7 linked regions of the Macaca mulatta genome follow. The protein of the gene in region 7 interacts with the protein of the main gene of each other region in a pairwise test. Links are inferred from orthologs where the notes say so. Each region holds a gene or a part of one and is shown on either strand. Other genes may lie near its edges. The genes, in order: THAP1, MEOX2, TRIM27, CCDC136, TRIM54, GPKOW and TCEA2.

Region 1 (4,395 bases), on a different chromosome or scaffold from region 7:
GAGATCTTTATGACAGTCCCTTTTCTTTGTACAACATAGCACTCTCTGCTGCCACTATGCAGACGGTGGGATAAGTGGTACTCCTAGAAAATCTCAGCTGGGGCTGGGCGTGGCCTGTAATCACAACTGTAATCCCAGCACTTTGGGAGGCCGAGACGGGCGGATCACGAGGTCAGGAGATCGAGACCATCCTGGCGAACACGGTGAAACCCCGTCTCTACTAAAAAATACAAAAAACTAGCCGGGCGAGGCGGCGGGCGCCTGTAGTCCCAGCTACTCGGGAGGCTGAGGCAGGAGAATGGCGTAAACCCGGGGGGCGGAGCTTGCAGTGAGCTGAGATCCGGCCACTGCACTCTAGCCCAGGCGACAGAGCCAGACTCCGTCTCAAAAAAAAAAAAAAAAAAAAAAAAATTAGCTGGGCGTGGTGTTGCGCGCCTGTAGTCCCAGCTACTCAGAAGGCTGAGGCGAATCGCTTGAACCGGGGAGGCAGAGGTTGCAGTGAGTCGAGATCGTGCCACTGCACTCCAGCCTGGTGACAGAGCAAGACTCCATCTCAAAAAGAGAAGAAGAAAATCTCAGCTGGAAATGGCCTCTATACGTATAAACTAGGGTGGCATTTGCTGGTAAAATTCCGTACCTATGGCCTCCTGGCTCTGTAAGCATAAACTATGGTAGCATTTGCTGCTAAAATTCAGTCAGTACCTAGGGCCTCCTGGCACAAGGACCACAAATTTACAGCTGTTTGTGAGATTCTGTTAAAATCTTTCCCATCTACTCTCCCTAAACCTGCTCTTTTAGATAAGGGATAAGATGCAGGTTAGCTCTTCTTTTGATTCAATCCGTATGTGTTTAACACCTAGCAGAAACAGTTATTTCTCTCTTTTTTTTTTTTTTTTGACATGGAGTCTGGCTCTGTTACCCAAGCTGGAGTGCAGGGCAAGATCTCAGCTCACTGCAACCTCCATATCCCAGGTTCAAGCGATTCCCCTACCTCAGCCTCCCAGGTAGCTAGGATTACAGGCGTACGCCTGTATTTTGTATTTTTAGTAGAGACGGGATTTTGCCATGTTGGCCAGGCTGGTCTTGAATCCTGACGTCAGGTGATCTGCCCACCTAGGCCTCCCTAAGTGCTGAGAATTACAGGCATGAGCCACTGTGCCTGGCCAAAAACACAGTTATTTCTGACGTGTGAATACCCTCCTTAAACTTGTTTCCAGTGCCAGTGAAACATTTTCCATAATTTTAGATTCCTTCTGCCATGCCATCAGAAATGTGGGTGGGGAGCTGCACATGTAATCCTGTTACCATCACCTGACCTTTTCCTACATTTCGAAAGAACATGTTTACAGAAATTCCAATTAAATTAAGAGACAATATTAGGATATCCTGAACTGAATCCTGTAAGTGTTCTACCCCCTTCGCCAAGGGGTAACATCATTACTCTGGAGACCTATGTTCTACACTCTCTTATTTCTATAGGGTCCATCTCACATGATATCAAACACTTAAAAAATGCATGGACACTCCCCTAGTAAACATAGATGGCTCCACACCAAAATAAAAAAATTGAAAGGATATTTAACATTTTGCTTTTGTAATTACCTAATTATAAAAGATAATTAGCTAATTACCTATGACTAATTTGTATAGTTTACCCCTGGATCTGATTTCTTAGCTATCATCTGCATATAGTTGTCAGGAATTCTTACAAAGAAAACTTAACATAAATGTAATTAAAATTTGTAAACAAATTCAGCTGAATGTTATGTCACATTTTACAAGCGTTTGATTATCATAAGTAATTGCAACTTTGCACTTTTTTTCCTATTTTCAAGAGAATATTTTTGATCCTAGCACTCTTAACTGTGCTACCTATTGGATAAGACAGCTCTGAAAGCTGTGGGGCAGTTTCTTTCGAAAGAGCTTCCTCTATGCACAGGTAATGCCGTAATAAATAAAGATCAGTGTGAGTCATTTTATTATGATCCATGTTGTAACTATCCATATTATCATTATTGTGTGCTGAAAAGATAACGATTTATCTTGGCAGTACCTGAAGCTTTCTTCAAAACTCAGGGTCCTTAAAGCTTAGTTCCTAGAGATTTGGGGCAAAAATTCTCCGGGATTTCCCAGCCAAAAAACCCTTAATTGCTACGATGCTGGCCTCCCATCCACGACAAGGGAAAGGCCTTTGTTTATATTTCAAATTTACCCCTAAGACGTTATTACAACACCTGGCTGCTCGTGACCCTGGTGGCGGCAAAACCCGCGCCACCATAGGCATCGCCCGCGGGCTCCAAACTCGTCAACCGAGGCCTGGAGCGAAGCCTGCAACGAGGACCTGTTCCGAGAGCGCAAGAAACAACCGCCGCGGAGACGCGCGCCGAGAACGCGCGATCGGGCGACGGTTCCCAGCAGGACGCGGCGGGAAACGCCTCGCGCGGCCGGCCCCAGACCCCACCCGCCCCTCGCGCGGACACGCGCCTGGCTCCGCCCCCGGCCCCGCCGGTCGCGCGCCCCCACCCTGGCTAAGACCGGCCCCGCGAGGCGCGCAGGGTCCTCACTTGTGGAAAGAAACGGGCTTGTCCTTGTCGTAGCGGTTCTTGCAGCCGTAGGCGGAGCAGGACTGCACCATCCTTCCGGTCTTCAGGCACTTCACTTCTGCCGCCGCAGAAGGCAGGGGAAGCTGCTTTCAGTGTCGCCGCGCTCGGTTGGACACCCTCGCTCTTTTGTAGCTTTGGCCAACAGTTACAGTAATGGTGGCCTCCCTCTGGGGTGACTAGTGTGCCCGTTTTGTTGTTTGCATTAGCAGAAGGACCACAGCCATCGCCCGTCTCCCATCTCCAAGATGGCGGAGGCAGCTTCAACCTCACCTCTCGCGAGGGGTGCGTCCCACTGTCTCTGATTAGCCCCGAGGTCAGAGGTAACGATTCCTGGGAAGCTAACTATTGGCTGAGGCCAGGTGTTTCCGGCGGTGGCTTCAGAGTTGCGGAAGTGGGCGGAGCCCTGAACTTCCGGTAGGCAGGAAGGAACAGCTTGCGGGGGAGGAGGCGCGGCGGGAGGCTGGATTCCAGGGGCATCATCCAGCCCGGGCTGTTCCCGTGGGTTAATTGATGCGGAGCTTTTCTGGGGCGGCTTACAGTAGGAAACAACTAGGGCCTCATGGAGAACAGGTGTAAAGCCGAGGTCGTTGTCTGATTGCGCCCATTTCTCTAAAAGGGCGGACACAGATGGTGTATGATTAATAAAATTGTGGAACCTTTTCCCAGAATGCTGATCTTTTTCCCATTACCTGTGTCTTCAGGCATCACAAGTCTCTGAGAGCCAACGTGACAGGTTTTTAGCAATGAAAAAAGACACACTCGCCAAATCATCTGAATTGCCAACGCAGAAGCATTATATATATGTATATATGTATGCATATATACGTGTGTGTGTATATATATATATGTAATTTTTTAAAAAAATAGAGGCAGGATCTCCCCACGTTGCCCAGGCCAGTCTAGAACTCGAGCTGAAGGGATCCACCTATCTCGACCTCCCAGTGGGTTGGGATTACGGGAGTTGAGCCACCAGGCCCTCCCTCCCCAGAAGCTTTTGTGAAGGGCTGTCCATTGCTGTGATTTCCATGTGCGGTGTTGCAAATAGGGAGCTGCTGCAGCAGTTTTCACATCTGAGAGAGAATATGTCAGAGGGGTTCGAAATAGAGCGACTCTGTGTTGAGTGAGGGCTAGGAAAATGAGGCTGGGACTTGCTGGGCTGCATTCCCGGAAAGTTAGGTGTTCCTAGCCTCTAGATGTATACCATTAAGGCAACAGATTGATAATGTTTACTAAACAGACCCAGACTTCGAAGTGTCCAGATATCTCGATATTTTGAGAACAGAAGCATTCCTAATTTTGCTTTAAAGATAATAATGGACTGGGCACAGTGCCTCACGCCTGTAATCCGAGCACTTTGGAAGGCTGAGGCGGGCGGATCACTTGAGGTCAGGAGTTTAAGACTAGCCTGGCTAACATGGTGAAACCCGTCTCTACTAAAAATACAAAAATTAACCGGGTGTGGTTGGCACATGCCTCGAATCTCAGCTACTCTGGAGGCTGAGGCAGGAGAATCGCTTGAATCTGGGAAGGCGGAGGTTGCAGTGAGCCGTGCTTGCACCACTGCACTCCAGCCTGGGCGACAAGAGTAAGACTCTGTCTCATAAATAAATAAAGATATCGATTCTTACATAATATAGTAATTAATCCTTTATCACAAACCCTTGTAGCACAGCACATGTCCCCATGATCTTTTTTTATTCTATATATAAACTAAGTGTTGTACTTAGGGTGGATGCGTTCCTTCTCTTTCTTTCGGGAACACCCTACTCTGTCTGTGGAGTAGCTGTACTTT
Region 2 (4,569 bases), on a different chromosome or scaffold from region 7:
TCTCTGACACATTCCTTAAAATCTGAATTCCTAGATAATGTCTTTTTCCCCAATAAAGGGAAAATTTTACCATTTAAAATAGGGTGCTATTTAAAGAACGCTGAAATAAGAATGTTAGAAAAAAAAAAAAAAACTAAAACTTTTTTTTTTCTCATGCGCTCTGCCAAGTTCCACTGCAAGTTCCAAATATTGTGCAATGATTTGGAAATCCAGTTAACGATGGGAAAAATCGAGCCACTCACAGTCGGGAACTTGCAAGAGAAAAGTCAAGAAGCGGCACCCGCACGCACGCCTGCCCAACCGACGCTGCATCTCTGGGCGCACGCCCCTCCCTCCCCAGCGCTGGGATGGAAGGTCACGCTTCGCAATCGATTTCACAGCCACTTGTCCTTTTTTATCAACCTTCTGGTAAACTAGTTTAGGACCTTGGAGAGCTTAGAGCTGCTGGCTGTATATGCATTGCTCTCGGATAAACACGTGTCCCCCAAATATCAGGACCAAAGCTTCACCGCCGAATTTGGCCGCGGGAAGCCACAAAGGGCAACACATTCCCATATTCCCCGCTGCCACCCTGTAGTGCGAGAATCTCCCCTGGCATCTCTCCGCCCCCTTTCCAGGCCGGCGCGCACTCTCGAGGGTGCCTGGTGAGCCCTTACCTGAGCTGTCGCTTTTCCTCTTGCCACCGCTTCGCTTCTCCGCCTCCGCAGGTGACAGTGCCTGGCGGCCGTAGTCCCCCGGCGCGCACGCGGCCCCAGTCGGGGTGCTGGAGCCCAAGCTGGAAGAGTTGGAACACAGGACCGGAGGGCTGCTCCCCAACTCTGGGGGCCCTCCGGAGTCGGGCTGGAGGCAGAGGCTGTGTCGAGCCGCACTCGGTGGGGAAGACATCTGCGGGAGGTGCCAGTTGGTTTGCAGAGCCTGGTGCTGCTGCTGCTGATGATGGTGATGGTGGTGGTGGTGGTGGTGGTGGTGCCCCCTGTGATGCTGGCTGGCAAACATGCCTTCTTCGTTGGGGTATCCCGCGATTATGCAAGATGAGGAAGAAGTAGAGAGCTCGGGGTAAGACATATGGTCAGATCTTCCATGGAGGGCGAGAGAAGATTGGGAGAACGGGTGCAAGCCTTGCGCCGTGGCGTGAGGGCTGCGCAGGCAGCCAAAGAGCGGGTGTTCCATAGCATGCAAGTTTCAGGTTCCAGGCAGAAGACTTCAGGACGGTTCCAAAGGCCACCACCCTCTGTCACTTTTCACTGGAAACTGTATGATTTTTTTTTTACCCTCCCAAAGCAATAGCCGTGCACTTCTGCAGAGCTCGGATAATCCCGGTTCTGAGCCCCAGCGGCCAGTCTCCTTTGCATATGAACAGTCGGACCTGGAAGAGCTTCCCTGAACTACTCAGATGTCAAGAGTGGGAGAGGTTGAAGCCAAAAGAAGGTGGTCCCAGAGAACTGCTTTCAGGGGGAAATGGCTCTGAGAGGTTATAAATAGAGTGTAACGTGAGCTGGGGGCCGGCTTAGGAGCCCAGAGTTGACCACATGCAAACTCCCTCCAAAACTCCCGCTCAGTTTGCGCCACGCGCTCCCCAGTTCCACTTCCTATCGCCTGCTGGACAGACGCAGAGCGTCCACGCCCGCCCAGCACTGCCGGCTGCCAGGGCTACAAGCGGCACGCCAGTGCCTAAGTCCCGCCCGGGAGGGCAGCAGCTCTGCCCTCCAGACTCTGGAGGCCTGGGCGCGGCGCACACCACCCCCAACCCAGCACCCTGATTCCTACCTACTCACTTTCCTCTCCGGGAAACGTGATTTGTCAGTGTCATTTGTGAACTGTCACCTGCAGAAAAGCTAGGGATATGCCTAGCCTTTCAGGAACCCAAAAGAAGTAATAGGGTTAAACGAAAAGATCAGAGCTAGTTAGGCGCATCCTCGAAGTTTTTCAAACTTCGCATCTTCCAGTGCCCTGGGCGCCGCAGCGCGCCTAGGTTTTCACAGCTGGTTTCTGTGGGTGGATTGTTAATGGGCTGGGACGCCAGATCTGAGGTTGTGGGGATGAGTACCATGGCCTGGAAAAGGCAGTTCTCAGTGCGGAACCAAGAGGGACCCGGTAGGGTGGGTGGGAGGAAGGCGTGAGTCTGAAAGGGTTGCAGATGCCTGTTCCCTGGCATCCTCTTGTGCGATGCCAGGTGGAGTCTCCCTTCCCCCTCTTTCCTGGTCCCGCTCAATTTCCTAGCCACTTGTCCACCAAGAAGAAATTTTCCTGGGTCAAAAATATTTCCAGGCGATTTTGTCCCGGTCACATGAGATGTGTAGATTGCACGCACATATCTAGCCTTTCCCCTCAGGAGCTAGCCTAGGTCTCCGCAGTTTCCTACAGAAATCCACTCTCTTCCGCTCAAAAATAAATCCGCTAATCGCATCCCTTATCACCACCGTCCCATTTACTGAGAAATCTTACATTTCGATAGCTCCCAAAATTCACTAAGCTTGGGCACTTGGCTATAACTTTGCATCCCTGAAAATAAATTAGAAAATTTGCCTCCAGTAAGCATGCAAGAACGATGGCAGGGCTTTGAGACTGCCACTTGTTTGGCGGGTGACAGGGTCCGCTGGGGGCAGAGTCGTTTACACACAAGTGAGTGGCTCTGTAATGAGCAGGAGAAACAGTCAAGTCCCATCTGGGACCTGTCGCATCAGGAGAATATCTGTAGTCACCTATTCCGCCCGGGGCCCCAAATGCACCACCAGCAGTGTCGCCCCGTTATTTTCATTGTCTCAGGTGTCCAGAGGATGATGAGCAGGTCTTTGAAGTTGTTAGTGGGATTAATGGGTACAGCAAACTGGGCTAGACATCTGGTTTGAATTAGGAAAAAGTATTGATTAATCTTTGAGAGGTGTCCCCAAAGCAGAACCTTCCCCCTCCTCTTCCAGTCCCCCTGCTTAAGCCTCACTATCTTCTTTTCTTGTAAGTCATGCTGTAGAATAGTGGCTTCTCAAAAACATCCGTGTGAAAGATCGAATTGTTTTCTATTGCTTAGAGGTGGGGTGGAGTGGGGGTTGATCAGGAATTCTGAGATTTGTAAGCGCTGCTTTCTTTAACGGAAATTGAGCTCTATTTTGAGGGAAATTAGTTTTGCAGACTTCGTTTAAAAAAAAAAAAAAAACTAAAACTTTTGTTCACCAGCTGCTCAGCTTTTCAGTCTGGGTCTGAGCTGAAACCTGCTGCAAGTCTTTGACGGTAAGAATTTCTTTGCCGATACTTTGGGAATCTAATATTGTTTTAGACTTCGAAAGGGGGTGTTGTTCAGGTTGCACGTTTCTAGGGGCTTTAAGCACTAGCAGGATGGCGTCCAGGACTTAGATCTTAAGAATATTTCTTCCTGCCACTCCCCACGCCCTTGGCTCTTTAAGAATAAAAAGAGGTGGGGGAGTTATAGTCCTCTAATATCGTCGGAATATTTTTTGTATTTTCATTGTGTTTATGGTTTCAATATGTGCTCTGATATTAAAAGTTAAAGTACAAAGAGCAACACTAAACTTCCCCAACTTGTGTAGCTTCTCTATGGATTCTAGGTGAAAGCATTAAAGGCTTTATTTAAAGTGAGATTTAGGCAACCACCTCAATAAGCCTAACCAGAAATATTTACATAATACAATGCTGTCAACTAAAGCATTGTGGAAAATGTCAGACAAGACAGACTAAAATTACACATGATCTGCAGACATCAGTCCAAAACATCCACAATGGTCCTTTTGGTTTGCATTACATTGGTTTAGAGGAAGCTAAGCAATTACCAAATGAATGGATTTGAATTTAACCAGAGTGTTGCAGGTAACTAGCAACAAGAACACACAAATCTTTCATCTCCCAGAGCTGCCACTTCTTCTTAAACCTGCCCAGTGACTGTGCTGGATTTTTTCTCACTCATTGTGTCAGATGTTAACAATCTGTCCAGAAGTTTCTCTACAACCTGCCCCAGTCAGTCAGGCTCTAGAACTTTTTCTAGAAGAAAAATTTAGGAAAGGTTAGAAAAGGAGGAAGTCATTGCAAAGGCATGCAATGAAAGCAAAGGTAGTAAGACAGGTCTTTTTAATTGGAGACACAAAACATTTAATATCAACAAAAATTATGAAGTCCAGTTTTCTTATAGAAAACACAACATAAGGAAAATATTTGAAAGGAAAAAAATGAAGGACTAAAAAGGAGGTCTTGGTAAATTCCAGAATTAAATAGGACTTTAATTTTCTCTGGATTTCTAAATATGTATTAATCATTACATAAAGATTTTTAAATATTAATTTATTCAAATATTTGGAATAAGATAGAATATTGAATTTTATGTTCTAGGTTTTAGAGAAATTTTTAAAATGTAGTAAAAACAGGAAAAAAAAATCCTTAGCTTTCCTATAACAGCTACTTCAGTGTTCACATCCATAAAATCCAATATTGAGAAGATGCCTCTTTATTTAATGATATCAAGAATGGTAAAAATTATAAAGTTTATCATAAAATTTATATAAACAATCATTTAAAACTATATATGACATAGTATTTATCTAATATTTGCAATATACTTGAGTT
Region 3 (3,881 bases), on a different chromosome or scaffold from region 7:
ATGTTCCAAGCACTGCTCTATGTTTGTTAGTAGTATTTATGTACGTGTGTGTGTGTGTGTGTGTGTGTGTGTATATATATATATATAACTGCATACATTTAGATCTCAGAATATTCAGCAAAAGCTAACCTAGCCTCATGGAAGCTACTTTCTATAGCTCCCTTAAAACCTGATGAGTAAATGAAGAATTAGGACATGATATCACCAACTCATGAACCTCAGCCATGGAACCCCAATGCCTGGCACAATACTACAAAAAGGACTTGAGAAAATACTTTCCTAGTAAAATTACAGGGTTAATCAATATAAGAACTGTAGGCTATGAATGTCCAACACTACTTTCTTAGCACCTCTAGAAAGTAGTGATATCATACGGAGAAAGTAGTTTTATTTTCCAGTTTGAAGTAAACTATTGGCCAGAGTGGGATTTTGGGACCCATATGGGAAAGCAACACCATTAACCATTTCCTCCCCACACCCATTCCAACATCTGAACCCAATCCTACCAACACCCAGAAAGCAACAACAATGTAAACATCCATATTCACTTTATTTTTAAACAGAGGGGCATGTACCCAAAGAGAAGCAGGACTGAGAACCATCATGGGGGCTTGCTTGAAGTGATCTGCCCCAGCCTTCTGACTTCAGAGTGTCTCATGATCCAATGGCCATGGGGGTGGAGCTGCCCCTTGACAGTATGCACTTAAGAATGGTCAATTCCCCTATCCCCCAAAGGAAATGGAGAAAAGGAGCCAAGAAGTCAATGAATCCCTGGAATATTGTCTCAGAATCCTTCCAGGGATGGTATACCACTGACCACCAGTCCACAAATGTGACTGGTAAGGGATCTAGTAACAGAGGATGGAGTTGGGCAGAATATTATCCTGGATGATATGCGCCCAGCACTAGAATACACCTTTCATTAGAATGAAGGGAGCAGACAAAACCCTCAGAAAAGATACAAAGGCAGAGACATTGATTAGAACATTATCTCATAACAGAGGTGGGGCCATTACCCACCATTATTGTAAAATAACTGTAACTAACCAAAACACATACAGGCCTCTTTAATGGAGTTAATAAAACTATGGCAGATTGGGAATCAGGGGCAGAGGTACTGTTCCCAGATGGAAAAACTGGGATAACGGAGCCATGCTGACAGGGCCTTGTTCCAGTCTAGGTTGTTAGAAAGGAGCCCTAACCCAGAAATGACAGCAAACAGCCATAATCATTATGTGGGGCTGAACCAGAGGAAGCCAGGCTGAGCCAAGAAGGTGGAAGTATCTGGAATGGCTCTCCAAATCCAAAGATTATCCATACTCTTTATCCCTCCAGCAATGTGTAAAACCAGAAAGTGTGAAACACTGGAGGTGGACATCTGGTTTTTATTTCTAGGATATCTTGATACATCTCATTACATTTCACAATCTGCACGGGAAGGAAAAGGATGGTAGAGAACATGGACATCCTGTCTCCCACTGCAAGGGCATGGAACATGGTAAGTATACCCAGCTGTGACAGGACGTGGCAAGGCAACAAGATGCCTTGTGCCTGGCATAGGATTACAGCCAACAGCCCTTTTGGCCTGAATCCACCTCCTCAAGGGGAGGTCTCCATGGAATGACCATGATTCCCAACATGGCCAGAAAACCCATCTATCCCACTCATGGGGCAGATGATCAGAGGAGCTGCGCTTTTCCCTCCCGAGTAACTCAGACTGAAGTAGGGCCGGACAGGCCCACAAAAGGTAGCATGAGAGAAAGTGAAAGTGTGACACCTCTCTGTCACGTTGTAGAAGGAGACCTCGCCAGCATCATAGTCCAAGAAAATCCCCACCCGCTGAAGCGGGGTCCGCAGGGGGAGGGCAGTCATCGGGGAGGTAAGAGCCCAATATTCTTTCCCATACCACAAAGACACTGCCCAGAATCCATTCTGGGGGGCTGAGGTTACTCCACCTTTTCTGCACACTGAGTCTTCACAGACACCTATGGTCCACTTGGCTTTATCTCCCACCTCTACCTCCCAATAATGTCTCCCAGCGATGAAGCATGGAGAGCCCAAGACACAGGGAAACAGATTGAACCGCTCGGGGTTGTCAGGCAGGTCCTGTTGGAGGTAACTGTACCGCACTTGCCGCAGATTGTCAGAGAGGATCAGGCTGGGGTAGGCCGTGTCTGGGTCCAGAGTCACGTCCACTGCAGAGACACAAAGAAGAGAGTCAGCCACGGGCCAGGAGAGCCTATTCTAGAACACTCAGTGCCTTTCTACTACCTCCCCACGAATGAGAGTTTGCCACTAGAGGTTGCACGTATTTTATTTAGAATATATTCTAAACTTCACATTTCAAAAATTACTGCTTGGATTAGCTGGTTACCAGAATACACTGAAAATACTGAATTTTAGCCCCATATCTTTTCTTTCACATCTGAAGCCACAATATCCATTATGAACCGATTTTAAGAGATAGGGTCCTGTTGCCCAGGCTGGAGCGCAGTGGTGTGGTCATAGTTCATTGTAACCCCAAACTCCTGGGCTCAGGTGATTCTCCCGCCTAAGACTCCCAAGTAGCTGGGACTATAGGTGTGCACTACCACCCTAATTTTAAAAAATTTTTTGTAGAGACGAGGTCTTACTGTTGCCCAGGATGGTCTTGAACTCTTGGCCTCAAGCAATCCTCCCACCTCAACTTCCCAAAGCAATGGGGATTTCAGGCATGAGCCACTGTGCCTGGCAGATACACTGAATTGAGGTTTTCTTACATGCTCATCATCCCTTATTCTGAAAACTTCAGGGGCCCAAAGTTTCACAGAATTCAGAATATTACAGGTTTTAGACAGGTAGGGTCTGGCGCAGCATTCTATAATGAAATATTAATAGATCTGCTATGAGATCCACGAATGTTTACATAATGAAGGATAGACTCTAAACAGCACCACATAAATTCACGTTTTGATACTGTAATTTCCTACAAAATAATGAAAAAGGTTGTGGCTTTCAGAGATTGGGGATTTTAGAACTGTGGGTAAAGGACTGGGAACCTGTATCAGTATGCTTACCTTTTAAATCACTCTTTTACAATTATTTTTTACTGTATTTTTTGAGATGAGGTCTCACTCTGTCACCCAGACTAGTACAGTGGCATAATCATGGCTCACTGCAGACTTCATCTTCCGGGCTCAAGCAGTCTTCCCATTTCAGCCTCCCAAAGTGTTAGGACTACAGGTGTGAGTCACTACACCCAGCCCAAATCACTCTTTTATCCATTCTATAAGATCTTTACTCTGCACATCAAAGCTCTATTCATCTTCTTCTAATGTCCACTGCAAGACACACATCCTCCAAGTTTTTCTTAATCTGCCCAGGCCATTACACTCTTCCTGTTCTGAAATCTGAAACTATGTATGATCCATGTCATCTCCTCTGGCATTTAGTATTACAGCATCTTGCTATCATCAAGTGTTTTCCTGCTTCAAAAACACTGATAATGGGCTGGGTGTGTGACTCATGCCTGTTAATCTCAGCACTTTGGGAAGCTAAGGCAAGAGGATCGCTTGCATACAGGAGTTTGAGACTAGCCTGGGCAACATAGTGAGACCCTGTCTCTACAAAACATAAAAGTAAAAATTTAGGCAAGCACGGTGGTGTGTGCCTGTAATTCCAGCTACTCAGGAGGCTGAGGCAGGAGGATCACTTGAGCCCAGGAGTTCGAGCCTGTAGCAAGCTATGATCACGCCACTACACACCAGCCTGGGCAACAGAGAACCTGCCTCTAAAATGAATAATAAAAAATTTTAAAAAGTAAAATACTCAAAAAATAAATTAATTTAAAAAACAGTGATACGTATTCTCTCATTTGCTCTTCACATCTTGTTCAGGAGGAA
Region 4 (3,938 bases), on a different chromosome or scaffold from region 7:
AAACTCAGAATGCCTGAAAGGCAGGTACTGGCAGTCACATCTGACAGTTCACATCTCTCAGCTTTTTGTACTAAGAGCATAATTGGAAGGTAATCATAAACAGTTGAATGGAAACTTTACATACAGTAAACCCCAAACTTAATTAAACCTTCAAAAATTCCTAAAAGTTCAAGAGTCTGCTTCGGTTGAGGCTTTGAAGATGAGCACACAGGGCAGATCTTCAGGGCAGATGAGAAGAAGGACAGCTATCGGGAAGAGGAGCAAGACTCACTGCACTGTGGAATTTCCTGGGCCCTGTCTTCTAAGCCTCTATCTCTCTTTTCTGTCTTTAGAAAAAGAGAAGCTCTTTAGCCTTCTGCTCTCATGTTTCAAAACAGGAAAACTGGGGGCTGGTCATCAGTGCTTTCCTTTCCTCCTGGTCTCATCTCTCTCTGCTTGTCCTCTGCAGAAGAACTGCAGGAGCTGCGGGAACGCTACCATTTCCTGAATGAGGAATACCGGGCCCTGCAGGAGAGCAACAGCAGCCTCACTGGGCAGCTTGCAGATCTGGAGAGTGAGAGGTACAGCTGTCTCTGGAGAGTGAGAGGTCATGGGGTTCCACAGGACTCTGTCTTGCCTTGGGCTTTCCCCTGAAGGCAGATGCCAGGGCAGTGAGCGTTCCTCTGCTCCTGGAGACCCAGTCCTTTCCATGGTTTCCAAAGAATACAGATACCATCTACAAGCAGACATGGGGATCCGACCCAGTTATCTCAAGACTAGAGGGAGTGAGTTCTGAAGTTTACTTTTGCTCTAGGCACTGGGTTCTGGTTTGCTCTGCCCTGAAGTAGATCAGAAGAGATTCGTTTATTGTCCGCATAGACTTGTTTCAGTCTAATGGCAGGCACAATGCTTCCAGATTGGAGTGGGCTTGACTAGGCCTAGCCTGAAAACTAACTGGACTGGCATTCTAAGGGTCTCCCAGAGTCAAACACACCTTTGCAGATTGAGGTGCTGGAGACTTTCCATAGTCTTCTAAGCATGTTTATCTGAGCGGTGAGTCACAATAGAAGGCCCCTTACTATCTTTGGCCTAAAATGAAGGCATCAGGACCAAGCATGCATGGCTGGTGTTGCCAGGCAGAACTCCCTTCAAGCACAGCTCTGGGGTTCTGGATTGCAGGACACAGAGAGCAACAGAGAGATGGCTGGAGTCCCAAACACTAAGTATGACGTCGGCAGAGTCTCAGACTTCGGAAATGGATTTCTTAGAGCCTGATCCTGAAATGCAGCTGTTACGGCAGCAGCTACGGGATGCTGAAGAGCAGATGCATGGCATGAAGAACAAGGTAGGGCACAGAGGGTGGGGAGGGCAGGCACGTTTCTTGTCTTTCTTTCACCTTCTCCCAGCCTGTAGTAGAAACATCTCCACAGGCATGCACTGTGACGGGAGACAGTATTCTGGGGTCTTGCTTGCCTGATGTAAATCTTCCAGTCAAAGAATGCCATACTTTCCCCAAGCTTGTTCTTGGAGCACATGTGGTATCTGTAGTAAACAAGCCTCCCTGTTCCATTTCCTGCATAGTGTCAGGAATTGTGTTGTGAGTTGGAAGAGCTACAGCATCATCGCCAGGTCAGTGAGGAGGAGCAGAGGCGGCTGCAGAGGGAGCTCAAGTGTGCTCAGAATGAGGTGCTTCGGTTTCAGACCTCCCACAGTGTCACTCAGGTAAAGACTGCCCAGGGAGTCATCTGGGGTGGGGGCAGAAGGGCCTCATGGAGGGGCTGCTTCAACCAGGGTGGGCACAGTGAGTATGGCTGTGCTCTGCTGACTCTTGCCCTGCAACTGGGCACAGTCTGCTGGAAACCAACTGTAGAAGTCATATAGCACTGCATTCTAGAAATGGTGGTCATTACTGAGTGTCTGTCTCACAGAAGAAACCAAACCCTAGACCTGTGGGAGCTCCTCAAGATGTCTGCATCTGAAAAGGAACCCAACTGATCCGTAAAAAGATCTGCTGTTTCTCCAGAGTAACTGTTCTACTCACATCCTCCCTACCACAGAATGAGGAGCTGAAGTCCAGACTCTGTACCCTGCAGAAAAAATATGATACTAGCCAGGATGAGCAGAACGAGCTCTTGAAGATGCAGCTGCAACTTCAGGCTGAGCTCCGGCAGCTCAAAGTCATGAAATCCACACTTGTAGAAAAGCAGAGTGAGAAGGTAACAGCAACCAGAGGTGAGGGGACAACTTAGGTGCTAAGGGCATCCTTCTGAGGTTTTGGGAAAGGTGGATCAGAGTAGTGAGTTAAAAATAATTCCAGCAACCACATAGACAGCACCACAGGTAAAGAACTCCAGCCCTGCTCGAGTACTACATTAGATATGAGGACATTAGGAAGTGAAGGGCAGGGAGAAGCAAATCTTAGACTGTCGGTGTCTTCAAGTGACTCACACAGAAGAGTGAGTGGGTTAAGGAGCCCAGAGGCACTGCCCAAAGCCCCCTCTACCATAGGAGTTACTGTGCCGGCTGCAGAAGCTGCAGCTCCAGCACCAGAACGTCACATGTGAGAAGGAAAAGCTGCTGGAACGGCAGCAGCAGCTGCAGGAGGAGCTGCAGTGCCATGAGGCGGAGCTGCAGCACCTCAGGGATACGGTGGCCTCCTTCAAAGAGAGCAGTGAGAAGGTAAAAGAAGCTCCTGGTGAGGGAGGATGTAGCCTCATCTTGTGTGGGGGTGAGAGTGCAGAGGAGGAGAGGGAATGGTAGGAGTGTGGAGGAGCTGGCAGTGAGGGGGCCAAAGAGGTGCTTAGGAGAAAGGTAACCTCAGGGAGTCACAAGGCTCTCATCTTCCTTTGATTTTAAATCAGAAAAGCAGCATATAAAAAGGAAGTCCCTTTCCCTCCCTACCTCCCAAAAAAGGAAGCCCCAGAAGATCTGTGTTTCTTTTTAAATTATTTTTATATTTATTTATTTATTTAACTGGAGAGGCTACACTGGGAAGGTCTGTGTTTCAAGCCTGTCAGGGACGGGTCCATCTTGGGTATATATCCCAGGCTGGGATGAAATTGGGGCTGAGAAGGACAAAGGAAGATGGGTCCCCTTAGTCCCTGCCTGGGAGGAGAGAGTTCAGCAGCAGGAGTGCCTGGGGTGATGGCCAGGCCTGCCTCCCCTGCCCAGAACACAGAGACGCACGCTCAGCTTCAGGAGATGAAGCAGCTGTACCAGGCCAGCAAGGACGAGCTGGAGCGGCAGAAGCACATGTATGACCAGCTGGAGCAGGACCTCCTGCTCTGCCAGCTGGAGTTGAAAGAGCTCAAGGCCTCCCAGCCCAGTCCGGAGGACAAAGGAAAGTGTGCTAACAAGGTAATTGTTGTTCAGAGAGGTGACAGCTCCTGGGCACTGGCTCCAGAGAGAGGAGGTACAGAGGCAAAAGATGAAGGCACCCAATCGAAGGGCTTGATGGGCTTCCTAGGCAGGAAGCAGAGGCAGGGCCACATGCTGCTAACTACAGAACCGTTTGCCCTGACCTTGACTTTGAGCCGGAGCCACAGCTCAGTAGGATCAATACCTTTGGATCCCAGTCTGAACCCCTGAAGGTTTTACACATGATTCCATGTATGTAGACAATGGAATATAGAGTGCTGACTAGGCAAGAGAAGGACCTAGGCTTTTTCAGGATTTATTCTGTGACTTTGAAGTAGTTAAATTCTTTGTTGTTGTTGTTGTTGTTGAAACAGAGTCTCACTCTGTCACCCAGGCTGGCGTGCAGTGACACGATCTCAGCTCACTGCAGCCTCTGCCTCCTGGTTTCAAGCGATTTTCCTGTCTCAGCCTCCCGAGTAGCTGGGACTACAGGCACATGCCACCGCGCCTGGCTAATTTTTGTATTTTTAGTTGAGACGAGGTTTCACCATGTTGGTCAGGCTGGTCTCGAACTCCTGACCTCAGGTAATCCACCTGCCTCG
Region 5 (4,600 bases), on a different chromosome or scaffold from region 7:
CCAAGAAAGTTGGTAATAGTTGCTTCTATCTGGTGAAGACAGTTGAGGGTCTGAGGTGAATAGCAGATTTGCTTTTCATGATATGAACCCCTACACTGCTTGAAAACAGTATGTTTACATGTTACAAATTCTAAATGATATACTGGTATCGCTTTGATAACCGTTAACTTTCTAGGCAACACTCTAAGGGTATTCTTCCTAAGTGGTTTGAAGATAGAGGAAAAGTCCTATTCTTTCCAAAAGTCCTATTCTTGCCCCATACTTAGAAAACAGACAATCTGATTATGCCTACAGTTGTCAAAATGTGGAGGCAATGTGTGAAAAAACTAAATCTGCTCATCTTTCCGAGGGAGATCTACTGAGATATATTGAGATATACAGACTTGAGTGCAGCTGAAGAACTGGGTCAGCCTCCCACCAGGCCCTCCCAAATAAGCAGCAAGGGATGAGCTCTTCACTCTTCCTCCTTGGAGGGGCCAGGGCTGCTCTGCACCTCAAACGACACACATCACTCCAGACCCACAGGGCCACCCCAAAGCCCTGGGTATCACGTTATCTCCAAATATTCTGTACAGGGTTTGCCCCAAGCCATTCCAAGGTCTCTCTGAGCCCAGATCAGTATTCCAGAGCTTTCTGGAACTGAAACAGTGTGCTTGGGTAGAAAGGGTTGACTTAAACAAGCATGTCACTTGAACACATTCTAGCCTCCATGTATGGGGACTGCTCCTGGGCCCCTCTGCCAGACGACAGAGGCACCCAGGAATGCTCTTGGACATTCTGACCACTTTTCTATAGGACACGTCACCTTAACTTTCAAAACTTCTCTTTGTTTTCACGCATTTCAAGTTCCAGTGAGAGGATGTTTCACTGTCAGTTCATGAGAAATGATGGCAAAATCTTTCCGCCATTTCCTCCTAGGCATCTCAGCCTGAAGGATGTTCGGAATTCCTCAGACCAAGGAAACACCAAGATGGTGGGCAAAGCATTGCCTCTCATGCAGGACTTCATGCACAGGATGAGGAGGCATAGCATTTGGTCTGGGTCCCCCGAGACGGAAAATCTACTGCCTCTGAGATACTCTGGAGCTGAATAATGGCAGGTTTGGACACATAAAAGAATAGGAGAGGGAATGGGCCTCAATGGGAAGATGGCAGGAGAGACCACAGAGTGCTGGTCTTCAGTGAAGATGACACACAGCAGACATACAAGGGGCGGGTCACAGGGTACATCGTGGGATGGCGGGACCTAGCCAGTCCATTCCTTTCCCAAACAAGCTGCCCCGAGGAACTTAAGAGGGAAGTATTTTCTTGGTTAGGTTAAAAATCCCTTGTGTTTAACACATTTCCTCATCATTTCTGACACTGAAGAATACTTGTTTGGGATGTTCCGTATCACTGACACACATACTAAGCCAGCTCTGGTCTATTCAGGGTTTGTTTTTGTGTTTTTGAGACAGAGTCTTGCTCTGTCACCCAGGTCAGAGTACAATGGCATGATCTCGACTCATGGCAACCTCCGCCTCCTGGGTTCAAGTGATTCTCCTGCCTCAGCCTCCTGAGGAGCTGGGACTACAGGCGCCTGCCACCACGCCTAGCTAATTTTTGTATTTTTGGTAGAGATGGGGTTTCACCATATTGGCCAGGCCGGTCTCGAACTCCTGACCTCGTGATCCGCCGGCCTCGCCTCCCAAAGTGCTGGGATTACAGGCGTGAGCCACCACGCCCGGCCACATTCAGGGCTTTTGCTTAATCGGCAAGGCCGCGTGTGTGTGTGTGCCTTTGCCCCTCACTCTCCCTGATCTCTGTTCCATTTCATAGCCTACTAGAACCTCCCCGGTAGCACAGGAAAAGAAAAAAAAGCCCACTTATAATCCATTCTGGTATATGCAGCTTTTATTTCTAAACCAGTGGCTAAAATGGTATCTGTGAATTTGATTAGCTATGCTTGGCTCCATGACCACAAATAAACCAAAACTGGCTAGACTTCTAAAAGTAAATTTCTTTGCCTTCTCTCTGCTTGTCAAGTGACCTCAATAGCTTTGAACCAGTAGGCCTCTTTACTCAACAATCTGGAGGTAACAGGTATGAACTCAAGTTGGGGAAGAGTTCCCAGTCTCCTGCCCACTGCGTCTAACTCTGTCCCCCACAACGGATGCCCTGAACTTTCCTTAAACACGAATCGTTTTACTGCCATTATGGAGCTTTCTCACAGGGTTGGGTTTTTTCTGTTTGTTTTTTAATGTTTCATTATCTCATTAATCTTTTCTCCGTATTTTCCGCAATGCTCTCAAAGTGTGAAACTCCAAACTGGAATGCAGAGTCTGGCACAGGCTCTTAAAAGACCGGTGTAGGATCCCCTCCCTCCCAGTTTCCACAGGGTCTCCTTTCCTCAGCAGATCCCAGCACTCCAGCTGCCGTCTATGGACAGGCTGTACCTGCCAGCCTGCAGGGCAGCTGCTGACTCATGCTTGCTCTGGGATTTGCTTGGACCCCAGCCCTTCTGCTCTCCAGCCACAACAGCCACCACCTACCTCAGAGAGCACTCTATCCATCACTTTCTGGGGTCTTAGCTCTGACCTGATCAGTCCCCCACAGGTCTGCATTGCTTTACCTGGCCCTGCCCCATCCCTGGCGCCCACCTGGAAGACGTCGTTGGCACACTTGCGGCACAGGTTGTGTTGGCAGGGCAGGATCACCACTGGTTTGGAGAACATCTCCAGGCAGATGGGGCAGATGAGCTGCTTCTCCAGGTTGTCCATGCTGTGTGCATCCCCTAGCAGCGGCTTGAAACCCACGGTGAAGTTCATCCCCTCGGTGGTTGTGCCTACCCTGGCTTGGGTCCTGCTCCTGGCCTTCACTCACTGTCTGTAGACCCTTCCTCACTCAGACGGCCTGTGGATTCCCTTCTGTGGCTCACTCTTGAAATAGCTCTGCTCTCTCTCCTGTCCCTTTAACAACTTGTCTCGTCCCAGATAGCAGTCTTCAGACACTTCTGTCTCCACTTTCTGCTCTGCACCCTCGGCAGGCTCACGTAGTTTTAGCTATCCCTCTCTCTCTGTAAAGTCCTCCTTTTGTTTCCCAAATGACTCTCTCTTGTTCACTCTGTGGGTAGCACTGTTTGTCCCTTACTCCCCAGAGAGGAGATTAATTTTACTGTGGGGGTGGGGAGACAAGGGGCATCTGCATGACATTCCAATTCCCAATTTAGCTCATGTAAGGCGAGCCACAGCTGTCACGGAGTGAGTGACCCTGACTCACTCAGGAATGGGTGACTCCCCTGAGCAAGGGCAGGGGCAAGCACCACTGCTTACGGTGAAAGGTGGGTCAGCAAAGGTGCTGCCCTCTCACTCTGAAGGCTCCTCTGAGCCCAGGACCCCTGCTCTGGCTTGGGCCCTTCTTCCAGGACAGTGACACAGAATCTAAATCTGCCTGTGTGAGAAGCACCCATACATAGCTCAGGGTGGGAGGAAAGATCTTGCCAGACTTAGAGTCAGTAGCAGTTGCCTCCTCCACAGGCTCAGCCAGTGACCCTGGTCCTCCTCCTCAAGACTGTGTGATTCAGAACAGCAGCTCCAGAGACTCCATCAAGCCTCCTGTCCAATACCTCTGGCTCATTTTTGTTCTTGCCTGCCTTTTCTTATATCACCCTAGGAAATGAAGCTCAAGAGGCTAGAAATGAGTATTGTGCCAAGGCCTGGACCTACCTATGAGCATGCGCCCGAGGAAATGTGGGATTCTGGTTCGTGAACACATCCCTGGAGCCACTCCAAGGACTTCAAATTTGTTAGGAAATTGGGAGAAGGTGAGCTGGGCAGAAAGGACATGAATGCCAGGGACCTATTTTGGGCACCCAGGGAATCAACCTCCAGGGAAATTTTAGAGCACTGACAAAGTCATAATCATAAGGCTCCAGGAAGCCTCTGCCCCAGCTCCACAGTTGTCCAGGACTCCTCCTCTCCAAGCCAGGCTCGCCCCAGTTGTGAGCACTGGTCTTCTTTTTCTCCTACAGGTCTTTTTCTCCACTTGATATTAGCCAAAAAGCCAAGAAGCAATTTCTTTAGGCCTTTTTCCTCCACCCCAGACACAATTTGTCTTTTCTGGGTCCAAAATATGCCTTGGGATTGGACAAAAGCTCTTTTATTTACCGCCATTCTTTAGCCCTTCTCCCAGTCCAGGAAGAGAAGTCTGAGGAGTTAGTAGGTAGTGACCCTGAGTGGGTAGGAAATACACGGTGTGAGGAGGATACGAAACAGCAGCACAAAGAGGCAAGAGTGGGAAAAGAGTCCAGAAAGTGCAATCTTCTCCGGATCACATATTTCATGCCCCTATTTTTGAGAACAAATTATATGTCAATTGGCCTGCATAAGATGTGAAAAGGATGGAGGCAAGCTGGCACTGATGTCTGAACTTCAGTTAACCCACAGGACCAAGGCTAATGCATGCTGTTCTGGTAGCTGAAGTCCAAGGAGAATCTAAAGATGGAATGACTACCCCTAAGCCTCAAATGCACTCGCAGTTTTCCTGAGTTGACTCATAGTGGCATGGAATGAGGCTGGCAATGCCAATGGCCGTGGGCACCAGAAGGTGAGACCAGCTCCATA
Region 6 (3,938 bases), on a different chromosome or scaffold from region 7:
GGGACTAGGTCTGGTTCCTGTGTCTCCCTCAACTGACTGTGGGGCTTCCTTGGATCCTTTAAGCATTTAATCCTCAGGGACTTGTGGCATATGGCACTCTCTTCCTTTTAGCTGGGAACTGAGGCTCACAAAGGCCAGCAAGTGGTCCCGGGTTACTGAGTGAGGCAGTGGGCCAAGCAGACCTAAAAGACTAGGACTCCCAGCCTTTCTACCTCAAACCCAATTATTCCTCCATCTGACCCTCGGATCAACCTTCCCTACTGCCTGTTTTGGGCTCCCGGGATATCTTGGTTCCTTACCTTCCCATAGAGGCCTCGGTGAGGGCCAGAAAGAACCACCACAGCTCCTCCTGGCACCAGCCCTTGAGGCTGATCTTCCTTATCCTTCTCTTGCTCCTCATCTGGCCTTGGCATGTGGGAGGGGCCGGTGGGGGTCAAGGCCTGGGCCTCAGACAGGTTGGCACCCAGCCCTAACCCCTTGGGCCTCAGTGAGTTGACACGGGGCTTCACTACTCTGCAGGGAGAACATGGGTTTGTTGGAGAGGATGCAATAGTCTTCAACACCTTATTTACCTCCTCTCCCTGCCCAAACCCCCACCCCCACCATTGACATTTTCTTTTCTTTTCTTTTTTTTTTTTGGAGACGGAGTTTTGCTCTTGCCATCCAGGGTGGAGTACAATGGCTCAATCTCGGCTCAATGCAACCTCCGCCTCCTGGGTTCAAGCGACTCTCCTGCCTCAGCCTCCCAAGTTGCTGGGGTTTACAGGAGCATGCCACCATGCCTGGCTAATTTTGTATTTTTAGTAGAGACAGGGTTTCACCATGTTGGTCAGGCTGGTCTCGAACTCCTGACCTCAGCTGATCCGCCCTCTTTGGCCTCCCATAGTGCTAGGATTACAGGTGTGAGTCACCATGTCTGGCCCCCATCGGTATTTTCAAGGTTGCCCTTTCCGATCTCATATTAGGACTGTTTTTGACCTACAGAAACAGCAATTTCATTTGGTTCGACCTAATAACATGCTGCATATACCATCTATTACATAATATCTACAGTGAGATCAGAGGCAGATCACTGTAACCAAATATACTATTTCTACAGGGGAAATCATATGAATATTCACACCAAGCAGGAGAAACGGACTATAAAAACTCAACATGGTTGGGCACGGTGGCTCATGCCTGTAATCCCAGCACTTTGGGAGACTGAGGTTGGCAGATCACCTAAGGTCAGGAGTTCAAGACCAGCCTGGCCAACATGGGGAAACCTCATCTCTTCTAAACATACAAAAATTAACCAGGCGTGCTGGTGCATTCCTGTAATCTCAGCTACTCAGGAGGCTGAGGCAGGAGAATCACTTGAACTCAGGAGGTAGAGGTTGCAGCGAGCTGAGACTGCACCACTGCATCCCAGCCTGGGTGACAGACAGAGACTCCATCTCAAAAAAAAAAAAAAAAAAAAACTCAACGCCAATTCAGGTCATAGTTGGCTGCCAATGGGTTATGAAAAAAATGTTTGGTTTTCACAATTCTTGAGTTTGCAATTGCGAAGAAAGGGTTGTAAGTCTGCATGACAATAGCAAATGTTTAGTCTACGCTTTCTTGGGGTCAGGGCCTACTGTATGTGCTTTACGTATATAGTTTATCTTTTTTGTTTTTTTTTTTTTGAGATGGCGTGTCACTCTGTCGCCCAGGCTGGAGTGCAGTGGTGCGATTTCGGTTCACTACAAGCTCCACCTCCTGGGTTCACGCCATTCTCCTGCCTCAGCCTCCTGAGTAGCTGGGACTACAGGCGCCCGCCACCATGCCCGGCTAATTTTTTGTATTTTTTTTTTAGTAGAGATGGGCTTTCACCGTGTTAGCCAGGATGGTCTTGATCTCCAGACCTTGTGATCCACCCGCCTCAGCCTCCCAAAGTGCTGGGATTACAGGCACAAGGCACTGCGCCTGGCTCTAATTTCTTTCTTTTTTTTTTTGAGACGGAGTCTCGCTCTGTAGCCCAGGCTGGAGAGCAGTGGCCGGATCTCAGCTCACTGCAAGCTCCGCCTCCCGGGTTTACGCCATTCTCCTGCCTCAGCCTCCGGAGTAGCTGGGACTACAGGCGCCCGCCACCTTGCCCGGCTAGTTTTTTGTATTTTTTAGTAGAGACGGGGTTTCACCCTGTTAGCCAGGATGGTCTCAATCTCCTGACCTCGTGATCCGCCCTTGTCGGCCTCCCAAAGTGCTGGGATTACAGGCTTGATCCACCGCGCCCGGCCTAATTTCTTTTCTTAAAATGAATTAATCTTTTGTAGAGATGGGGCCTCCCTATGTTGCCCAGGCCAGTCTCAAACTCCTGGGGTTAAGTGATCCTCCTGCCTCAGTCTCCCAAAATGCTGGGATTACAGGCATGAGCCACTACCTGGCCTATGTGTATAATTTCATTTAACTCTCACAACAGACCTGTGAAGTCAGTACTATTACCCCCATTTTTCAGATGAAGAAATTGATGTCCCTAGAGGCAGACTTTATATAAATGGGATCCTATTAGAGTTTCAAAGGGCAAATGGGAGTTTAAAACAGTAGTGGAAGGGGCTACTGAATTAGTTAGGGCGATAATGTATCCTCCCTCCCTGCCTGGAGTGGTTCTGGTTTGGCAGTGACCCTGGGGATCTTGATTGCAGCCTGATCTGTCTGTCCCCTCGCCCCTATCCCAGAACTCACTGATTGAAGGTGCGGCCGATGCCCTCGCCAGGTTTCCAGCCCATGCCCCGCAGCATGGCCAGCCCATAGGCCTCCACGGGGACCGCCTCATAATTAGCCTCCTCTGGCACCTACAGGTTCAGGTAGAGGAAGGAGGGTCAGGCTTTGCTTACACTGGGTCCTCTGTTTGAAGTGCACTTGCTGCCACCCACTGGGAGACCTGCTACGCATCTTTTCCAATCAGCTCAAGGGTGTTTTGATTTCCTCTTTCCATCCCTCACTGTACTCCTCCATGTTCAGTCCTTCAACAAATAGAAAGCACCTAGTCTATGGCAAGTACTGTTCTAGGTACTGGGGATGAAGCTGTGAACCAAACAGACAAAAACCCCTACCCTTGCAGAGCTTCTGATCTAGTTGTGGAGACATACTATAAATAAAACCCAGAAAACATGATATGTCAGGTGGTGACGTATAGAACAAGAAAGCAGGGTAAGAAGATGCAGAGGGATGGAGAGGGAGTGCCTCTGGGTTGACATTTAAGCAGAGATCAGGAAATGATAGCAGAGGGAGCCATGAGGATATGAGAAGAAAGTGTCCCGAGCTGAAAGCACAGTTACAGCAAAGGCCCTGAGGCTGGACAAGGCTTGGTATGTGTGAGGGGTAAAAGTCACCATGACTGAAATGGAGATAGTGAGAGTAGAGAGCAGAGAAGGGTGGGGAAGAGATCAAATCAGGAGAGCTGGGCAGGAGTCAGAGGACCCTGAGCCAGGTGGGAGCCATAAGAGGGACCAGTGAGGAAATTACTCTAATAGTCCAGATGAGAGATGCTCGTGGCGGTGAGAAGTGGTCAGTTCTGGGTGTCATTTTGAAAAAAGATGAAGGATTGTGCTGGCAGAGTGTATGGGGCATGAAATAAAGAGGGGAATTGAGGATGACTCCAAGGTTTTCTTTTTTTTTTTTTTTTTTCTTGAGATGAAGTCTTGCTCTGTTGCCCAGGCTGGAGTGCAGTTGCACAATCTCAGCTCACTGCTACATCAGTCTCCTGGTTTCAAGCGATTCTCCTGCCTCAGCCTCCTGAGTAGCTGTGATTACAGACATGTTCCACCATGCCCAGCTAATTTTTGTAATTTTACTAGCGATGGGGTTTCGCCATGTTGGTTAGGCTGGTCTTGAACTCCTGATCTCAGGTGATCCGCCCACCTCAGCCTCCCAAAGTGTTGGGATTACAGGCTTGGCCGACTCCAAGGTTTTTATGCTGA
Region 7 (3,938 bases):
GCTCACCACCCCATCCCCTACGTTTCTGGGAAGTTAAGTGAGTTGAAGCTGAAATTGGCTCAGGGCCCTGAGACCACAACTCCCACAATAACAGAGACGGCAGCATGGGGACAAGCTGTCCTGAAGTGCCAGGACCCGGGTCCCAAGCTGCCCATGCCCGAGGCACGGCAGGACATGTGCCCTGCACAGGACGACAGGCTGTCAGCACGCACGCAAGACCCTCTCCCCACCTGCCGCACAGGCAGCCACCCCAGGTGATCTCTGAAGGTCAGCCAAGCTCCTCTCCTGGGGCTGAGCCACCAGGGCCCACCAAGCACTGCCTGACCTCAGGGAGGGGCCGTGTCCACAGCAGCGCGAACAGGTCAAACATGGGGACGGGCCACCAGGAGTAACAGCTGAGGAGAACGAGATGGCAAAAAGAAACATTTAATAACGAGGGGGAAAGGGCAGAAAGGTGCAATCCAGGCAGGCAGGTTGAGGGCAGGACATGCCGCCTTCTAGGGTCTCCAGAGAAGCTGTATCAACGGAGGACGTGGGCGGGGGAGGCCAGCACTGGCCACGGCCCAAGGCTGCAGCACATCTACACGAGGGCTCAGCAGAACTGCGAAAAAGGGGGTGAGGCCTCCAGCCTTGTGGCCACATGAGACTCCCCAGAGAGAAGGCCGCACAGGCTCACCCAAGGCTGCAGTCTCCGCCCACCATGCCCAAGACTCCAGGAGGCTGGCTGGGCAGGGCCATCCCCAGTTCACACCACAGACCCCACAGAGGCTGACACACCCCACCTCCAGAGAATGGAGCTGGAAGGGGCAGCCTGAGCCCGCTCACCCACCTTCCAGCGGTTTCCACACTCGTTGCAGACAACAAAGGTGGTCATGGGTTCATCAGAGCTGCGGGTCTGCACCTGTAAGGAGGGCTGGGTGAGCCTCCATGCTCTGCTACAGGGAGTGTCCCCTCAAATGGGCAGAGCTGGCCTTGCAGCCGCTGAGCTCCCATAGGTGACCTGATCTGAGGCCACCTTGTGACTCCAACCTTCCAGAGCTGAGCCTCCCGGGAGGGAGACAGTGTCTATTGGGGCAGAGGCCCTTGCGTGGGCTTGAAGCAGCTCACATTGGCTGGGGACCAGCAGGGCCCAGACTTGGCTAGGCAGTAGGGTCCCAATGGTGGGGGGAACTAGCGGGGGTCCCCAGTGCCCGTGGCTGCCTTCTGGAAGGCCCAAGGGTGAGCCTCAGGCCACAGGCAGAGCCTGTTCCGACCAGAGGCTGGGAGCAGGAGAGAGGCAGGCTCTGCACAGACCCAGGCCCCATGCAGCCTTTGAGGGGAAGGAAGGGCTGTCCTTGCAGCCCCTCACGAGTCCCATCTGCCAGGCGCAACGGCCGCCTCAACACACTCCCCCCCTTTTTTTTTTTTGAGACAGAGTCTTGCTCTGTTGCCCAGGCTGGAGTGCAGTGGCGTGATCTTGGCTCACTGTGCAACCTCCACCTACCGGGTTCAAATGACTCTCCTGCCTCAGCCTCCTGAGTAGCTGGGATTACAGGCGTGTGCCATCACCCCCGGCTAATTTTTGTATTTTTAGTAGAGACGGGGTTTCACCATGTTGGTCAGGCTGGTTTCGAACTCCTGACCTCATGATCCACCTGCCTCGGCCTCCAAAAGTGCTGGGATTACAGACATGAGCCACCGTGCCCAGCCGCACTCCCCTCTTAACAGGGTCCCTGCCATCTCATGGGATCCACAGTCTCCCCGGCACACTCAGTGTCCACCTCCATGGCAGGGACTGAGAGTCCTGCGGTCACTGCCAGGCAGCAGGCGCCACGGCCCTCCCACCAGCATCAACCTCGAGGGCCCTCCGTGCAGCTGGGCTGGGCGGGCCGGGCCCTCCGACTTGAGCACCTGGAACAAGTGGACCCCACCACCCAAGACGCTGCCTCCTGGGGCCCAGGGTCCTGGGTAGAGGGGAGTGGTCCCTGAAGGTGGCCATCATGCCTTAGCCTAGTCAGGGACAGAGAGGCTCGGAAAACTCACAGCAGAGGCGGGAACAGGTATGGGCTCCTAGGAGGGGCACGGGATGGCCTGAAGACACTGGGCCCGGGGGAGGTGCCCAGCGGCCGCTCACCTGCGTGTAGGTGCAGTTCTTCTTTCTGCACTTGCCGCAGGTGAACAGGTCTGTCTGCGTGCCGCCAGTACGGGCCATCTGGTGCTCTCGGATGGCCTCCTTGGTCATGGCCTTACGGATCTCCTTCAGCTCATCACTGGCCATCTCCTGGAGCACGGGGCCAGTGGCTTAGCCCACCACTCCGAGGGGAGCAGCCCTCCAGCCCCTCCAACAGGGGCTCACCTCTGAGGTCATCACGGCAATCTGCTGGGGGGTTATGGCCCCACACAGCACGTTCCGCCGCAGGTCAGGGTTCCTGGCATCCTTCAGGTTGGAGATACGACTCCGCACACGGTTCTTGTACTTCATGTCTGTGTTTCCAACGTCCCGGAAGATGCGTGCAAGTGTTTAAGGACCCACCCGAGGACAACGTCGCTGCCCTCCACCTACCACCTGCCCCGCTGGGGGCCATGCTGGGGTGCTGGCTGGAAAGGTTCTGCCCAGCCACACTTGGTGGACAGGTGAAGGGCTGCAGGGCCGAGCCTGCCACAGGCCCATTCCTGACTGAGACCCAGCTTCAGGCTACAGCCCCAGGGAACCTAGGCCCCACCAGCAGGCAGAATCAGCCTCTCAGCTGGTCTGGGGGCCTCCTGGAGCGAGACAACCTGACTACCCAGGCAGGTGACCCCCCCCAGGCAGCTGACCCCCCAGGCAGCTGACCCCCCTGGCAGGTGACCCCCCAGGCAGGTGACCCCCCCCCAGGCAGGTGACCCCCCAGGCAGGTGACCCCCCCCAGGCAGGTGACCCCCCAGGCAGGTGACCCCCCCCAGGCAGGTGACCCCCCCCCAGGCAGCTGACCCCCCAGGCAGGTGACCCCCCCAGGCAGGTGACCCCCCAGGCAGGTGACCCCCCCCAGGCAGGTGACCCCCTCCCCAGGCAGCTGACCCCCCAGGCAGGTGACCCCCCAGGCAGCTGACCCCCCAGGCAGGTGACCCCCCAGGCAGGTGACCCCCCCAGGCAGGTGACCCCCCAGGCAGGTGACCCCTGGACAGCTGGGCAGTGGCATCCAGCAGCCACCAGAGGCCACCAGGCCAGGCAGCCTCCTGACTCCACCAGAAACCCAGACCCATAGCCCTGCCCAAAGGATATATTCCTCGATCTGAGCCGACAGGCGCTGGCAGTCCGCACCGATGGCCACGTGGTCGTCTGCAAGAGGGAGCCCTGACTAGCTGCCCCCACTGGTTTCTCCACCTGCCACCCCTTCTGCCTGCAAATCACCCTGGCAGCTTAGCGGGGACATCCGTGTCCCTGGAAGAGGCCCACGATCCAGGCACAGGCCCCACGCCGCTGCCAGGGCCGCAGCAATGGGCTGGGGGAGGAGAGTCGCCCCTCTAGAAGCAGGCCTCCTCGGGCAGGCAGGGGCCTGGGCCGCCCTGAGAATCCCAGCGGGTGTCAGGAGCCAGGGCCGGCCGCACTCACGGGCCGTCTGCAGGGCAGCAGTCAGCATCTCGCGGCACTTGTTGCGTACGGCATCACAGGTGACAGGCACCGGAGGAAATGTGGTGATCCTTGGAGTCGACGGTGCCCTGGGCAGCTCCGGCCTCTTGCGGCTGCAGAGAGCCAGGGCCAGCTAGACTCAGACTCGAGGCTGTACCCCAGCAAGACACTGATCCCAGAAGCAGCAGGTGCCACAGCATAATCCCCCCCAAACCCTGCTTGCTCCACTCTGCCAGAGTCCAACAGTGGCCAGTGGCCCTGCCTATCTTGAGCCCAGATGTCCATGGGGTGTGCCCAGCAGCCAGGAGGGAATGGGCCGTGAGGTCCCCAGTGGGTCAGGATGTTCCCC

Evidence for each region.
Region 1: the proteins of TCEA2 (region 7) and THAP1 interact in binary tests that used the Homo sapiens proteins (3 or more experiments, as listed by UniProt). The two-hybrid records come from large-scale screens. The link is inferred for Macaca mulatta from reciprocal best matches to the Homo sapiens genes TCEA2 and THAP1.
Region 2: the proteins of TCEA2 (region 7) and MEOX2 interact in binary tests that used the Homo sapiens proteins (3 or more experiments, as listed by UniProt). The two-hybrid records come from large-scale screens. The link is inferred for Macaca mulatta from reciprocal best matches to the Homo sapiens genes TCEA2 and MEOX2.
Region 3: the proteins of TCEA2 (region 7) and TRIM27 interact in binary tests that used the Homo sapiens proteins (3 or more experiments, as listed by UniProt). The two-hybrid records come from large-scale screens. The link is inferred for Macaca mulatta from reciprocal best matches to the Homo sapiens genes TCEA2 and TRIM27.
Region 4: the proteins of TCEA2 (region 7) and CCDC136 interact in binary tests that used the Homo sapiens proteins (3 or more experiments, as listed by UniProt). The two-hybrid records come from large-scale screens. The link is inferred for Macaca mulatta from reciprocal best matches to the Homo sapiens genes TCEA2 and CCDC136.
Region 5: the proteins of TCEA2 (region 7) and TRIM54 interact in binary tests that used the Homo sapiens proteins (3 or more experiments, as listed by UniProt). The two-hybrid records come from large-scale screens. The link is inferred for Macaca mulatta from reciprocal best matches to the Homo sapiens genes TCEA2 and TRIM54.
Region 6: the proteins of TCEA2 (region 7) and GPKOW interact in binary tests that used the Homo sapiens proteins (3 or more experiments, as listed by UniProt). The two-hybrid records come from large-scale screens. The link is inferred for Macaca mulatta from reciprocal best matches to the Homo sapiens genes TCEA2 and GPKOW.

The regions. Positions count from the first base shown.
Region 1 is NC_133413.1:44,941,658-44,946,052, forward strand, and holds the start of THAP1 (THAP domain-containing protein 1), read right to left. Parts: upstream 2,856-4,395; 5' UTR 2,636-2,855; coding exon 2,565-2,635; intron 2,439-2,564; exon of another isoform or gene 2,285-2,438; coding exon of another isoform or gene 2,235-2,284; intron 1-2,234. UniProt on the Homo sapiens protein: DNA-binding transcription regulator that regulates endothelial cell proliferation and G1/S cell-cycle progression.
Region 2 is NC_133408.1:112,580,371-112,584,939, reverse strand, and holds the start of MEOX2 (homeobox protein MOX-2), read right to left. Parts: upstream 3,146-4,569; 5' UTR 1,171-3,145; coding exon 657-1,170; intron 1-656. UniProt on the Homo sapiens protein: Mesodermal transcription factor that plays a key role in somitogenesis and somitogenesis and limb muscle differentiation. Required during limb development for normal appendicular muscle formation and for the normal regulation of myogenic genes.
Region 3 is NC_133409.1:154,436,730-154,440,610, reverse strand, and holds the end of TRIM27 (zinc finger protein RFP), read right to left. Parts: intron 2,196-3,881; coding exon 1,600-2,195; 3' UTR 538-1,599; downstream 1-537. UniProt on the Homo sapiens protein: E3 ubiquitin-protein ligase that mediates ubiquitination of various substrates and thereby plays a role in diffent processes including proliferation, innate immunity, apoptosis, immune response or autophagy.
Region 4 is NC_133408.1:168,439,345-168,443,282, forward strand, and holds part of CCDC136 (coiled-coil domain-containing protein 136), read left to right. Parts: intron 1-448; coding exon 449-560; intron 561-1,158; coding exon 1,159-1,324; intron 1,325-1,560; coding exon 1,561-1,701; intron 1,702-2,036; coding exon 2,037-2,195; intron 2,196-2,487; coding exon 2,488-2,658; intron 2,659-3,150; coding exon 3,151-3,336; intron 3,337-3,938. UniProt on the Homo sapiens protein: May play a role in acrosome formation in spermatogenesis and in fertilization.
Region 5 is NC_133418.1:97,700,072-97,704,671, forward strand, and holds the start of TRIM54 (tripartite motif-containing protein 54), read right to left. Parts: upstream 3,086-4,600; 5' UTR 2,807-3,085; coding exon 2,639-2,806; intron 1-2,638. UniProt on the Homo sapiens protein: May bind and stabilize microtubules during myotubes formation.
Region 6 is NC_133426.1:49,200,974-49,204,911, forward strand, and holds part of GPKOW (G-patch domain and KOW motifs-containing protein), read right to left. Parts: intron 2,811-3,938; coding exon 2,701-2,810; intron 514-2,700; coding exon 300-513; intron 1-299. UniProt on the Homo sapiens protein: RNA-binding protein involved in pre-mRNA splicing. As a component of the minor spliceosome, involved in the splicing of U12-type introns in pre-mRNAs.
Region 7 is NC_133415.1:116,959,441-116,963,378, reverse strand, and holds the end of TCEA2 (transcription elongation factor A protein 2), read right to left. Parts: intron 3,703-3,938; coding exon 3,572-3,702; intron 3,299-3,571; coding exon 3,242-3,298; intron 2,491-3,241; coding exon 2,336-2,490; intron 2,261-2,335; coding exon 2,114-2,260; intron 902-2,113; coding exon 830-901; intron 602-829; coding exon 593-601; 3' UTR 411-592; downstream 1-410. UniProt on the Homo sapiens protein: Necessary for efficient RNA polymerase II transcription elongation past template-encoded arresting sites.